Linked DNA regions of Arabidopsis thaliana. The protein of the gene in region 2 interacts with the protein of the main gene of each other region in a biochemical or structural test. Each region holds a gene or a part of one and is shown on either strand. Other genes may lie near its edges.

Region 1 (6,497 bases), on a different chromosome or scaffold from region 2:
AACTTATATCCATGAAACGAAATAAGTTGGCCTCTAGTAACGTTTTTGGCATCATTATCGTAGTACTCAAATCTATGTCAAATGGTGACAACGTTATCATGATGTTAAAAGGGTTTTCTACCTCATACGGCTGATCTTCAAAATACCTATTACCTGCCATATGATATGAGTTAAACACAATATATATATGAAAATCGGTTTTTAATGTTCCTTAATTACTCTGTAAATATTTATGTCAGGTTTCTATTATCTCCTTGTTTATGTGTTAAGGGTATATATAATAACAATTCGTCCAAAAAAAAAAAGTATATATAATGATAATAAGCAGATACAATTTTCTTTAATTCATAAATATTGTGAGATTAACAATTAATTAAATATGTTTTGTCTTTACTAAATAACACTAATTTTGTTTAATAAATAGTTTGATGTTATCATGACATATATAGATTTATAGTTTTTCAATTCTAACACGTGTTAAAAGTAAACTAAAATTTGACAAAGATGATTTGACATTTTTTTAATAGTAAACACTGAAACTATTAATTACTTGATTTCTTTTGAAAGTACATCACTTTTAGAAAGAAAAAAAAATGTTTCAGTTTTGATTTGTATTTGACATTGTTGGTGCATGTAATTGTAAGCTTGCAAATTTAAACTCGGTAAGATAATGTGAGACGTGTTAAAAAAAAAAAAAGATATTGTAAGACCGTCTTACTAAGACGTGTTACAAAATATAACCTATTTTTAGCCAAAATATTACTGTAGTGTTAATTAGATTATCAAATGTGTTAAATTAATTGTATTGTCGATACATATGTTGATTACCACAAAATAGAAAATTATATGAAAACACAAACTATTAATTATCATCGAAAAGATCTGATGTCATCTTTGTTAATATTTTCGTAATTGTGTTAACATATAAATCACCACCGAGAACCAAATCGGTCCGGTTGAAAACCTTTTGAAAACAAGACACGAGAAAAATTCTTATTATTATTACTAAATTCACATGAGATCATGAAATAGATAAACGAGTTAGATCAGAAGCAAGCGGAGTAACATTATCTCTCAAAACAACAACAAACTTTTCAGAACCAGGGTTCTTCTGTAACTTTGCGATCTTCTTGAGAATATGGGAAAAGGAATCCTTGTCCTCTGTGGTTGTAAGTCTTTCCTTAAACCTCATAACAAGTTCCAGTGTAGTTAATTGCTTCTTCTCCATCAGAACTTTGCGGATTTCGTCTTCAGTCACAAGTTCCATCTTGCGTGGTTGAAGATTAGATCGGATGTTGAGCTTGTTCACACGACTTTCTCTCTTCCCTGGTTTAGGCTGACATCTGTAAAACAAAGGAGAGAACAATAATACTTCGCCTTTTATATTGTAGCGTTGCTTGCTCACCAAGGCAAAGTTTCTTATATTGTCCTTTTAATGACTCTGATTTTCTTTTTTTTGGAGAGAAAAGTAGTAGAATCTCGTCTTAGGAGAAACTCTGTTTCTTTATATAAGAGTCCCAACGATCTTATCTCTCCATCATATAAGCAGTTGGAAACCTAATTGTATTTATCCGAATCTCAGTAAATCCTAATCACAATAGGATCCCTACGAATGGGCTTTTTTATGGTTACTATTTTCCTCTTCACAATTGGGCTTTCACTGGAACATTCCATTTTTGAAAACCTTCGCATAAAACATTTTTTTCGAATAAAACATTTGAAGATTTTCAATTACTAATAGTGTCATGGGAAAAAAATAGGTCCAACTTTAAACATCTGAAATCAAGAAATGAGAAAAACATTCTTATTTTAACTAGCTCATGAGATATCTTGAAATCTTTTTGAAAAGAGTTAGCTGTGAAAACAGGAAGTCCTCACTTTTCTCTCAAAACGACGAAGTTTTGAGAACCAGCGTTCTTCTGTATCTTTGAGATCTTCCTCAGAATATTGGCAAAGGCATTCTTGTCCTGTAAAAAGACACAGTTATATAACACAAACGATTGATTTGTCCAGAATAAGCTCAGATAAAAACCATATGGTCACTTCAAGAAGGAATATTAGACTAAATATTACCTCTTTGGTCTTAAGTCTTGCCTTAAACCTGGAAACAAGATCCTGTGTAGTGACTTGCTTCTTTTCCATCAGAACAGCGCGGATTTCATCTTCAGTCACAGGCCCAGTCGCAGCTGAGGATGATGATGCAGGAGCTGAAGCTGGTTCAGCTTTCACAGCTTTTGTTGGTGTGTTGGATTTGGAAACTGTGTTTGCTCTCTCTTCTTTCAAAGAAGATTTCGGATCCTGCTTACAAAGATTACAGAAACCTGTTTGTTAGAAATCAAATCCAGCACAAACGATCAACTCTTTCTCAAACATAGAAATCAAGTATCTTACATTTTCAGTCTTCACTTTCTTTTGAACAGAGCTGCTAGGCTTTTTAGAATCGCCGTCGTTTAGTTTTCTCTTTCCCTTGGATGGTTTTGCAGGAGGTGTTCCACGAGGAGGTCCAGATGGTGCAGGTTTTGCAGGTGCATTATCAACAGGTTCTTCTTTCGCCGCCTCCTTCTGTTTTGAGTTCGTAACTGTACCGTAGTTTGTCTCCTCCTCCTAAGAATGACATTCATGATGATTTGCGTGTATCCAAACCAGATAAAATGAGTTTGATTGAAAATTTAACAATTTTTTAAGAAGTAAAATATGTCAAAAGAGGGCTTACATCATCAGAATCATCATCATCGTCTTCATCAGATTCGTCCAAACCATTAGCCTTACCAAGCAGTTTCTTCAACTCTTTACCAGATTTGCTCAAACCTCCCTCCTCTTCTTCATTTTCTTCATCATCCTCATCCTGCAAGGGATGTCAAAAGAAAGTTACGACCTCATAGGAAGTAAAGGCACAACAATCCTGTAATTAGTAAACATTGAAACTTGGATAACATATAAATGGGATTACCAACAGAAATTACTACAGTTAGTTTCACAGAAAATTGTACATTGGAAGTAAAGCACTATAGTAAGTACAGACCTGCTTTATTTCTGGAGGAGCAGGAATTTCAGGAGCCAGAAGGTCTTCACGTTCCTCAGGATCATTACCGACTGCTTCATCATCATCCGTGAAAATTTCCTCGTGCTCCCAGTCATCCCCTGAATGCATTATAATTTACAGACATTTCAGCAGTTTTGTTAAATAGACAATGAAGAACAATCATGTCAATCTATTGACGAAAATGCTAAAGTCATTCTTAAGCTTCTTGACGATCATTTGGTAATAGATCACTCACCCTTCTCAATGTCATCATCATCCATGTCAAGATCACCACCCCTTGGACCTTCTTCATCATCATCATCATTACTCTTTCTATTAAGTCCAAGTCTACTTTTCCGTGACGCCTCTTCCTCTTCATCTTCATCCCCTCTGTCAGAAACATTTCCTTCCTCTTCATCACCGCCTGATGACTTCTTACGACCCCTACCACCACCTCCACTGGTTCCACCGCTCTCCTTTTCATTATCCACTTCTCCAAACAACGCTGGACCATTATTCGCAGCTTTCATCATCCACCTTTGATAACCATCAGCCGTTTTTCTCCGATTCTTCATCTTCTCTTCCGCTTCTTCCAATGTAAGTTGCTTATACTGTGCAACCTTGTTGAAGTTATACCTAACACAGCACAAAAATAATCAGAATTCGGATAATACAACAACAGAAGAAGCAACGGTAATTTGATTCTCCATACCAAGAACCAGCAGGAATCGCAACAAACTCTTTGTTCTGCATCACTAAGAGATAGTAAGTAGCAGACTGAGAGCCTTCAAGATGTCCCTGGTACTGAAACTGTCCAGTTTCATCTTCCAAGATCCAAGGTTTGTTCTTTAACTTCTCCTACAAAAATTAGAATCCACACAAAACTCATTGTAAAAACCATCAAAATGATTGGTATGATCCAAAACAAACACAAAATTACCCGTTGTGCATCTGTAAACTGACGACCTTGCGGTATATCTTTACGAAGAGACCATTTATTCTCAGAACCTTTCTTGAAATTAGGAAGACCAGTCACAAATCTACCAATGAAGTAGTTCTTATCCGTAGGTGCCGCAGCACGAACGTTATACTCCTAAACAATTTCACCCAAACAACAATTTTATCAAAATTTTCTTCAGAAACTCAAAATTGTTTGAAGAAACACACAAAATCTAACCCGAATCAAACGTGTAACGACGGTTCCACACTCGTGACACTTAGATTTATTCTGCGCCATGGTTCTACCACACTTCAAACACAACGTCATGTGTCTACAAGAGCTTCCATATAAATCGGATTGTGATCCGCAACCAACACAAGACGTATTCAATTGCAAACAGTTCGACATAATGTTCTGATCCCAAGGAAATCGTCTTCTTTCTGAAACCGTAAAAGAAGAGAGAATTTAGGGCTTCACGATTTTCGAAAATCTAATTGCGAAGCTAACAGAAGGAATCCAAGATAAAATCTAACGATTGTGTTGTTGGAATCTAGGGTTCTTATTACCTTTCTGAGATTTGAGATTGCAATTCAGAGTTTTGTTTGCGAATGATTTTGAGAGAATGTTAAGCTTTGGGATCTCTAATGAAGAGGAGGTTATAAATAGTGAGTCCGAAGACTTACATGTTAAAAGACTGATTTACCCTTTTGACTGATCCAAAGAATACAAGTGTTTTTTTTTGGGTCTCAACTTAATAACATTCATTTAACCATATCCAATATTTATATTTTTGATACAAACATGCTAGTTTTAATATCTTGTGCTTAGTAGCAGAAGGAGAAAGTTTGTATCCTACTTATGATAGGTTCTACGTGCTTCATTTGGCTCCCAATATTACATATCAATTATCCCATTATGCAACAAAAGACCAAAGTCACCAAACAAATAACCAAATTGAAGAAACTCACTTTAAAAGGATTCTTGTTGTTCATAAATGCATTGGCACCAACACAATATCAAATAAAAAGCATTACAATCTTCAAAAAGGATAGGATTCGTTCACAAGTTTTTTGTTTTTCTCATAGGCTAAAAAGTTGCACATAAACTCACTTCAGTCCAAGCCTCTTCATAAATGGAGAGACCCATCATTCATTCATTCCACCAAGAATCTAGATGAGGAGCTTCTCAATGGCATCCTTAAGGTGCTGAATTTGAGATTTCAACTGACTAGCCTCGTTTGATGTAACGGAACAAGCGATCACGGGTCTGGTTACATCACATGCTCTTCCAAGGGCTTGTTTCGATGGCACAAACACATACGGCACATTCTGCAATAGTTCAAAGCCAGAGAGAGAACAACTAATTAGTAAAAGAATCAGAATCAGAATGTTGCTTGTGAAACAGATTTGCTGAATACAAATAAAGATATGTTTGTGCAGCCAAATTTAAATAGGCCAAAAAAAAAAAACTTGAATGGGAACTGTCAACTAAACATTCATGAATCAACAGAGCATAATACTCAGAAGCTAAAGTAATGATATTGTCAATCCTAAGACCAAGAATCACAGATTTAACTCATTACACAAGCTACGTTAATACAGAACAAACGAACTTCTCAATGCCTAAAAATCCTAATTGAATCTGTCTCCTACATTCATAAACTAAATTACCTAAGTGATTACTACGAACATCAACAATCACAATCTCAAAACTGGAGTCTAATAGCCAATAAAGTCTTATCTTTTTATCATATGAAGAAGATACCCAAGTGAATCCAGTAAAACTTGCAAGAGCCAAAGAAACTACTAATTGAGATTCATAAGAAAGTGAAACGATAAGAAGAAATTCAAATACCTTATCTTCAGCAAGAAGAGGAAGATGAAGAAGAATCTCGAGAGGCTCAGTATCAGCAGCCATAACAATGAACTCAGAGATCCCACGGTTCAATGTCTTGGTAGCTTCATTAGCTCCTTTCTTTAACTGTTTGTAATTCGTAGCTTGTTGAACAAGATCAAGAATCGTTATCGATAACTGAGAATCAGCTAACGGATACGCCTTAGGGTTCACTCCTTCTACCGTCATCTTCTTCTTCGTCTACGAGAGTTCTTTGTTCTAAGTTCTGAGTTCAGGGAAGAAAGAAGCGGTGAGGAGAACAAGGTAGCTAGGGTTTTAGTTTGGGTTTAATAGACAAACGAATTAGGGTTTTATAAAGGGAACACATCAAAGCCTCTCTCTGACTCAGAAGGTTTCAGATATTTTTTAAATAAAAAAAATAAAATAATTTCCACTAAATTATCGGATTCTCAGCTCTTCTCTCAGAATCTCAGATCGTGTTTTGTTTGCTTCACCAGAGAAGATCGAAGACGAAGAAGACGAGAAAGAGAGATAATTAGGGTTTAGAATGGCGGAGGATCTAGTTCTCGATACGGCGATCAGAGATTGGGTTCTGATTCCTCTCTCCGTAGTGATGGTTCTAATCGGTATTTTGAGATACTTTGTCTCTAAGCTTATGCGTTCTACTCCAACTCCTGATGC
Region 2 (5,355 bases):
TGTTTCACCTACAATTTTTCATTTCTTCCATTAATTCCCAAACAAATCATATAAAGATTGCAATTTGCAAAACTAATTGAAAGAAGAGAGTACCCAAGAGGACCGACAGTTGTTGACGAATTGGGTTCTAGAATTGCTACACTCCTTAGGATAGAGAAGACCCACGGTGGCGATTTCAGTTGGTTTTTTACCAGATTCCTTTTCTAGACAAGCGTAAAAAGCATCTCTGGCCTGCACCAATTAATGATCACTTACAATTTAACCTAAATCACACAAATCAGTATCACAACAACGAAAATGAGAAGAGAGAAAGACGGACCTTGTAACAAGCATCTCTAGCTTTAAGAAGAACATCCTCATGAACATCATTAGGGTTCGACGACGCATAAGTATCGAGAGCCATGTCTAAGCGAAGAAGACGGAATCAGAAACCAGAAACAAACACCAAACAAAACAAATGAAAGTAGATGAGGGACATAAATATACGGCCCATTTAGGCCCGGCCCAAAAAAGTTGTCGGTAGATTACAGACCTTCGCAAATAAGCATAGACGAAACAAAATAATTAAGGAGATCAACCAAAAATTAGTACCTTGTTTAAATATCAGAGATACAATGTAATGTACATTACAAAACTTTACTTTAGACATAGATTCATAATTAATATCCAACAAAAAAAAGCTATCTCTTCTTTCTCATTGTTGTTACATAAATCACTCTTCTTCGGTCAATTGCTTCTTGAGCTGCTCTAAACCGAAGTTCTCTTCTGGCTGTTTCATCCAAAGGTAATTAGCTGCATCTATCCATCCTCTATGAACCACATACTTCTTCTCTCTAACGGCCCAACGAGCCTTCTCTGTTCCCACATCCATTGCCACAACGTGTGTCACTGATGCATCCACTTCCGTTGCGCAGGTGGCTCCCAGTTCCTCAGCCATTTTCCACAGGGGGTGATCTTCTGGCTTTGCCTTGGTTGGGAACACCCGACTGAACACTATTTTACATCCTTTAAGTATCTCTTTACGCACTTGTTTCAGCATTAACCTAACATCTCTGTTTGATATGCCTTCATCCACATTCTGAAACAAACGAATAATATAATCAACAAACTCCAACAAGACAAGAGATAAGTTTTATTTAGATCCAGTGAGTGCATACCTCAAAGAATAGAGCATGCGCTTGTTTTAGGACTTTCAGGACAGTTGCAAGTGCCCCATCTGGTTCACTCTCATCACTCTTCAACTCCGATAGAGACTTGTATCTGTGATCAAACTGCCTGCAGCTCGAAGAAAAAAAGTGATATCTCTCTATCACAATCAAATTGTCCTTGTGCTTTGGCCACGCCTGAGCATCAAACCAAGTATCATCAGCACAACTCAATATCATGATTAAAAGTTACATGAAACATTGACAAATTACAAATCATACTTACATTCTCTGTATCGTCAAGAATCAGAACAGCACTTTCTTGTCCAAGCACCACATCTAGACTCTTTTCATGTCTCACTGTGCCGTCATCCCGAGAAATGACCCGATCACCAAAGTACTCTCCTTTGGGGTCCAGCAGCTTGGCCATCTGTCGTGCATAATTCCTATCTCCCATTGTGTATATGTACATCACAAACATCTCACTAGCTTCTTTTAGAAATGAGTGAACAAACGGCCTCAGTTTGGTCATCATTTGCATAAATTCCAGTAGGAAAAGACTGCCTCCGGAAACATTGCAACCATCTAGATGGAACAAAAAAAAAGACAAATACTAGACTGAAGTTCCATGCACAAAGATCACATTTGAAAAAGAAGCAAAACAATGTAGCTGAATGTATCACCTTGAAGAGAATGAGTATGACTTTTCAAGTATTCCTCCTCTGGTTTTAGGTCCCTCAGTATGGTTGTATTTAGCAGTGTGTGGTCTAGATCGAGAACTAAATACAACTTCCGCTGGCGTTGCAAGAATCTCGAATCTGAATCACGCAACCGGGAGATTTCATCTTCATTGAGCCTCATTTCCTAAGAAAACAGATTTCCCAAAGCTCATTAAATAAAAACTAAGATTTGATTTAAGAGAAGCTATTCTGAAATCGATACCTTGTGTATGTATCTAAATGAAACACCAGTTTCTTCCAGTTTTTGTCCACATACAAAGCACATATTCCCAAATGATCCTGGATGCTCGCATTCGCCTTTGCTTGAGGATGCTTCTGCAAGCATAAGGTTCAAAATTCAATACAATCGAACAAACGAAAGACAGAAAAATAAGACTGAATCAATAAAGAGAGCTTCACCCTCTAAATGCTCCAACTTTTGTCTCTTTAACCTAAAAGATTGAGAAACATGGTTTGAGAAAATATACACACTGTAAATACCAGTAGAGAGTTCGAAGATTCAATTAGAGAGAATGCATGACATATGAGAGTTGAGTTTACCCAGATTCTACATCATCCTCAGCTTCTTCTTCTTCGCTGGGTCCAGACGAAGCATCTGATGCAGAGTCTAATTCAGCATCAAGGAATGCAGCAAGATCGTCACTACTACTTGATGAATGAACTGGAGAATCACTTGCTACGCTCATCTGAAAACCACTCACAAGTCACAACAAAGCAAAATCAGATAAATTTTTCAACGCAAATGAAAGTCACGAATTGAGTAAACCCTAAATTAAACACAGACAGAGAAAAGGTCACATGGAGTTCGAATTGAAATCGCAGAGAAACATGGAGTGGTACCTTAAACTTGTTCGTCGGAGGCGAGAGAAAATCAAATCGTGATTTTGGATTTTGAAAGGAAAAGAGTGGAGATGTCACGACGGTGAGCAACCGTAAAAGTGAAGAAGTAAAGCTTTCAACTTCTGTCCGATTTGTTATTTCACGAAAGCTGAATAGTTTATGTAATAAGGCCCGCTTAAAGCCCGTTAGAAGCCTAATTAAGATTGTTTGTTTTTGGGTTCAAGTCTAACTAAGTTTAAGAAGAATGGATAAATATTTCAAGTGTGTGAGTTTTAGATTGTTGGCATAAGTTAATTGAACTTAGAAGATCAGATTCACATTATAAACTGTAAGCTTTGTATAGAGAAGTAACTAAAAACTAAAGAGATTACATAGTAAATGTTGTTTATATATGGAGGAAAAACAATTAGTATATTTAAGAAATTTTCTTGAGTTTATTAGGCATCATCATATGAGGAGGAGCCCTTTTGTGTTTAGGAGGGACTTGTTCTTTTTCTTCTTCTGCTTCTTCTTCTTCATTGTCATCCTCATCATCATCAGCTTGATCAGTTGTCCAAATCATCTTATGTTGATAATATCTGAAGGCGACGAGTAACATGAATGCTGCCCAAACACGGGCAGTGACTGAGGAGAGGTTCCAAACTAAGGTGAAAAGTGCCAAAGCCACTGCCTTTTTGTGATTGCAAGATTCCCATGCGTCCCTGAATCTCCTCATCCAGAAATTTCCTGAATTGTACACAACTTTGTTTGATTAAAAACTGTTTCATAGAAGATGTAACTGAAAGATATTGAAGGAGTTTTTAGTTACCGTATGCAGAGAAGTGTGTTGAGTATGATATGAAGATTTTAGGTATTGTAAATGCTCCCAAAAAGCCTGTTCTCACGAGGACAAAACACTCGCAAGTCAGAAATCTACATACACCACTTCTTAAAACAAGAAATCTTGAAGTCTAGAGGTACCAAATTTGGCGAGGTTCCAAAGAGTGATAGAAGAGCCACACCTGGCCAAGACAAACAACACTACTCCCATCTGCAAAACATCATCTCTTCTTTATTAAGGTCAAGGGAGAAAGAGGAAACGAAGGAGAGAAAGTGAGAAGAAAAAGACTTACCTTGAGAGTGGTTGATGGATCACCGGAGAAGAGAGCTCTGAGTTGATGCAGAGACTCGTTGAGATAAGGCATTATGAGTCTGAGCATCCTCTTGACATCTTCCTCTCTAACTCCAACCACTTTATGTCTCTCCTCCTCCACCATTCCCCTGCGTCCATTATTACATGCCTATTAAACCCAATCACAAAAACAACATGCAAAGATAGAGAGAGAGAAATAGGTCTATGTATCAAACCTGTGGATCAGTGATTTTAATACGAACATGAGACCGAGATAGATGAGTCCCATGTACGCTACCACCGATATGAAGCTGTACATTTTCATCACATTTTAGTTCCATACTACTTAACTAACTTGTGTGTAGATTCTCCTTGATCAATTGAAAAGAACTAAAGAACCTGAAATTGAGATCATTGGCGTAGGAAGAAGAGATGATGAGGAATGTTCCGAAGCCAAACACAAGCGTCGACCTTGATACATCCCTCCACATCACCAGATCCACTGTCCAGATTTCATTTCATTATTTAACATACTTTAGACTTTTCATAGTAAAAAAATTTGTAGATGGAATTATGCACAGTAAACTGTTAAGAAACTCACCCAGACTCTGCAATTTACTCTGTGAATGAGTAAAGTTGTCTTCTTGCTCTGCAAATCTATCTGGAAACAGTCGTGAAAAACAGAGGATTCATCAGAATTCAGTAAGCAAATAGCGGTCGATGAAACAAAGCACTGAAATTCGGATTAAACAACCTGTGCTTGAAGTAGAATTTGGTGGGGCCGAGTAAACAGAAGTTGCCCTTTTGATCACCGGAGGCGAAATTTTACGAACGGACGACGGAGATGGAGATGTTCTGTTTTGAAATTGACTAAACTTTTTAATCTCAACACCACCAACTCTGTTTTCCTTGGCTACATTTATCTCCTTCACATCAACACTCTTCTTCTCCACTTCTCTTTCCTCCTCCTCATCTCCATCTTCTTCATAATCATCTTGATCACCAATCTCCTGGTCGCCATTGTCAATCTGCTCATTTTCGTTTGATTTAGCAGATACGATCATCTCCTGACAAACACCAAACTCCTTGACTTCTTCTGGGATCTTCGAATTCTCAATGATAGTCACTTCTTGCTCTGTTTTCGTATCAGATTTCTCAGAATTTGGAGATGGCAACGAATTCACTTTCCTCAACGCAACTGAATCAAATTCACCGGCTTTAACGATCGTCGTGCAGACCTCCGATCGGATCTTCTTAACTCGACCCGGAGTAGTCTTCTTCTCAATCCCCTCTACAGATTCAGATCTTGCCTTCTTCGCCACCACCGACACACTCGGACTCTTATCATTAGAATCACTACTAGACAACGATCTCCTCGGCGTCATCGGAGGAGTACCAATTGATCTCGGCTTCGTCACCTTCAGAGAATTGGCTCGAACAATCTCAAGCGTTGATGGGTTCTTCACATCGGACGCTCTAGACTTCCAAGTCCGTCTCTTTCCATTAACACCTAATAAAG

Evidence for each region.
Region 1: the proteins of CPL4 (region 2) and RAP74 form a complex in vitro, tested with the Arabidopsis thaliana proteins (one study listed by BioGRID).

Annotation. Positions count from the first base shown.
Region 1 is NC_003075.7:7,452,843-7,459,339, reverse strand, and holds RAP74 (transcription initiation factor IIF subunit alpha RAP74), read right to left. Parts: upstream 4,602-6,497; 5' UTR 4,529-4,601; intron 4,403-4,528; 5' UTR 4,371-4,402; coding exon 4,200-4,370; intron 4,116-4,199; coding exon 3,963-4,115; intron 3,881-3,962; coding exon 3,735-3,880; intron 3,659-3,734; coding exon 3,279-3,658; intron 3,142-3,278; coding exon 3,023-3,141; intron 2,846-3,022; coding exon 2,714-2,845; intron 2,605-2,713; coding exon 2,392-2,604; intron 2,299-2,391; coding exon 2,074-2,298; intron 1,968-2,073; coding exon 1,879-1,967; coding exon of another isoform or gene 1,875-1,878; exon of another isoform or gene 1,344-1,874; coding exon 1,022-1,343; 3' UTR 985-1,021; downstream 1-984. Other genes in the region: AT4G12617 (B3 domain protein), read right to left, coding at 1-160; AT4G12600 (Ribosomal protein L7Ae/L30e/S12e/Gadd45 family protein), read right to left, coding at 5,132-5,290, 5,652-6,044; AT4G12590 (ER membrane protein complex subunit-like protein (Protein of unknown function DUF106, transmembrane)), read left to right, coding at 6,364-6,497. UniProt on the Arabidopsis thaliana protein: TFIIF is a general transcription initiation factor that binds to RNA polymerase II and helps to recruit it to the initiation complex in collaboration with TFIIB. It promotes transcription elongation.
Region 2 is NC_003076.8:23,477,282-23,482,636, reverse strand, and holds CPL4 (C-terminal domain phosphatase-like 4), read right to left. Parts: upstream 2,857-5,355; 5' UTR 2,726-2,856; intron 2,572-2,725; coding exon 2,426-2,571; intron 2,317-2,425; coding exon 2,285-2,316; exon of another isoform or gene 2,211-2,284; coding exon of another isoform or gene 2,201-2,210; coding exon 2,088-2,200; intron 2,010-2,087; coding exon 1,829-2,009; intron 1,731-1,828; coding exon 1,432-1,730; intron 1,344-1,431; coding exon 1,158-1,343; intron 1,079-1,157; coding exon 713-1,078; 3' UTR 501-712; downstream 1-500. Other genes in the region: AT5G58005 (Cytochrome c oxidase, subunit Vib family protein), read right to left, coding at 1-8, 94-231, 320-403; AT5G58000 (Reticulon family protein), read right to left, coding at 3,141-3,451, 3,534-3,599, 3,686-3,755, 3,838-3,985, 4,073-4,147, 4,236-4,338, 4,438-4,497, 4,591-5,355. UniProt on the Arabidopsis thaliana protein: Processively dephosphorylates 'Ser-2' and/or 'Ser-5' of the heptad repeats YSPTSPS in the C-terminal domain of the largest RNA polymerase II subunit (RPB1). This promotes the activity of RNA polymerase II. Required for normal plant growth.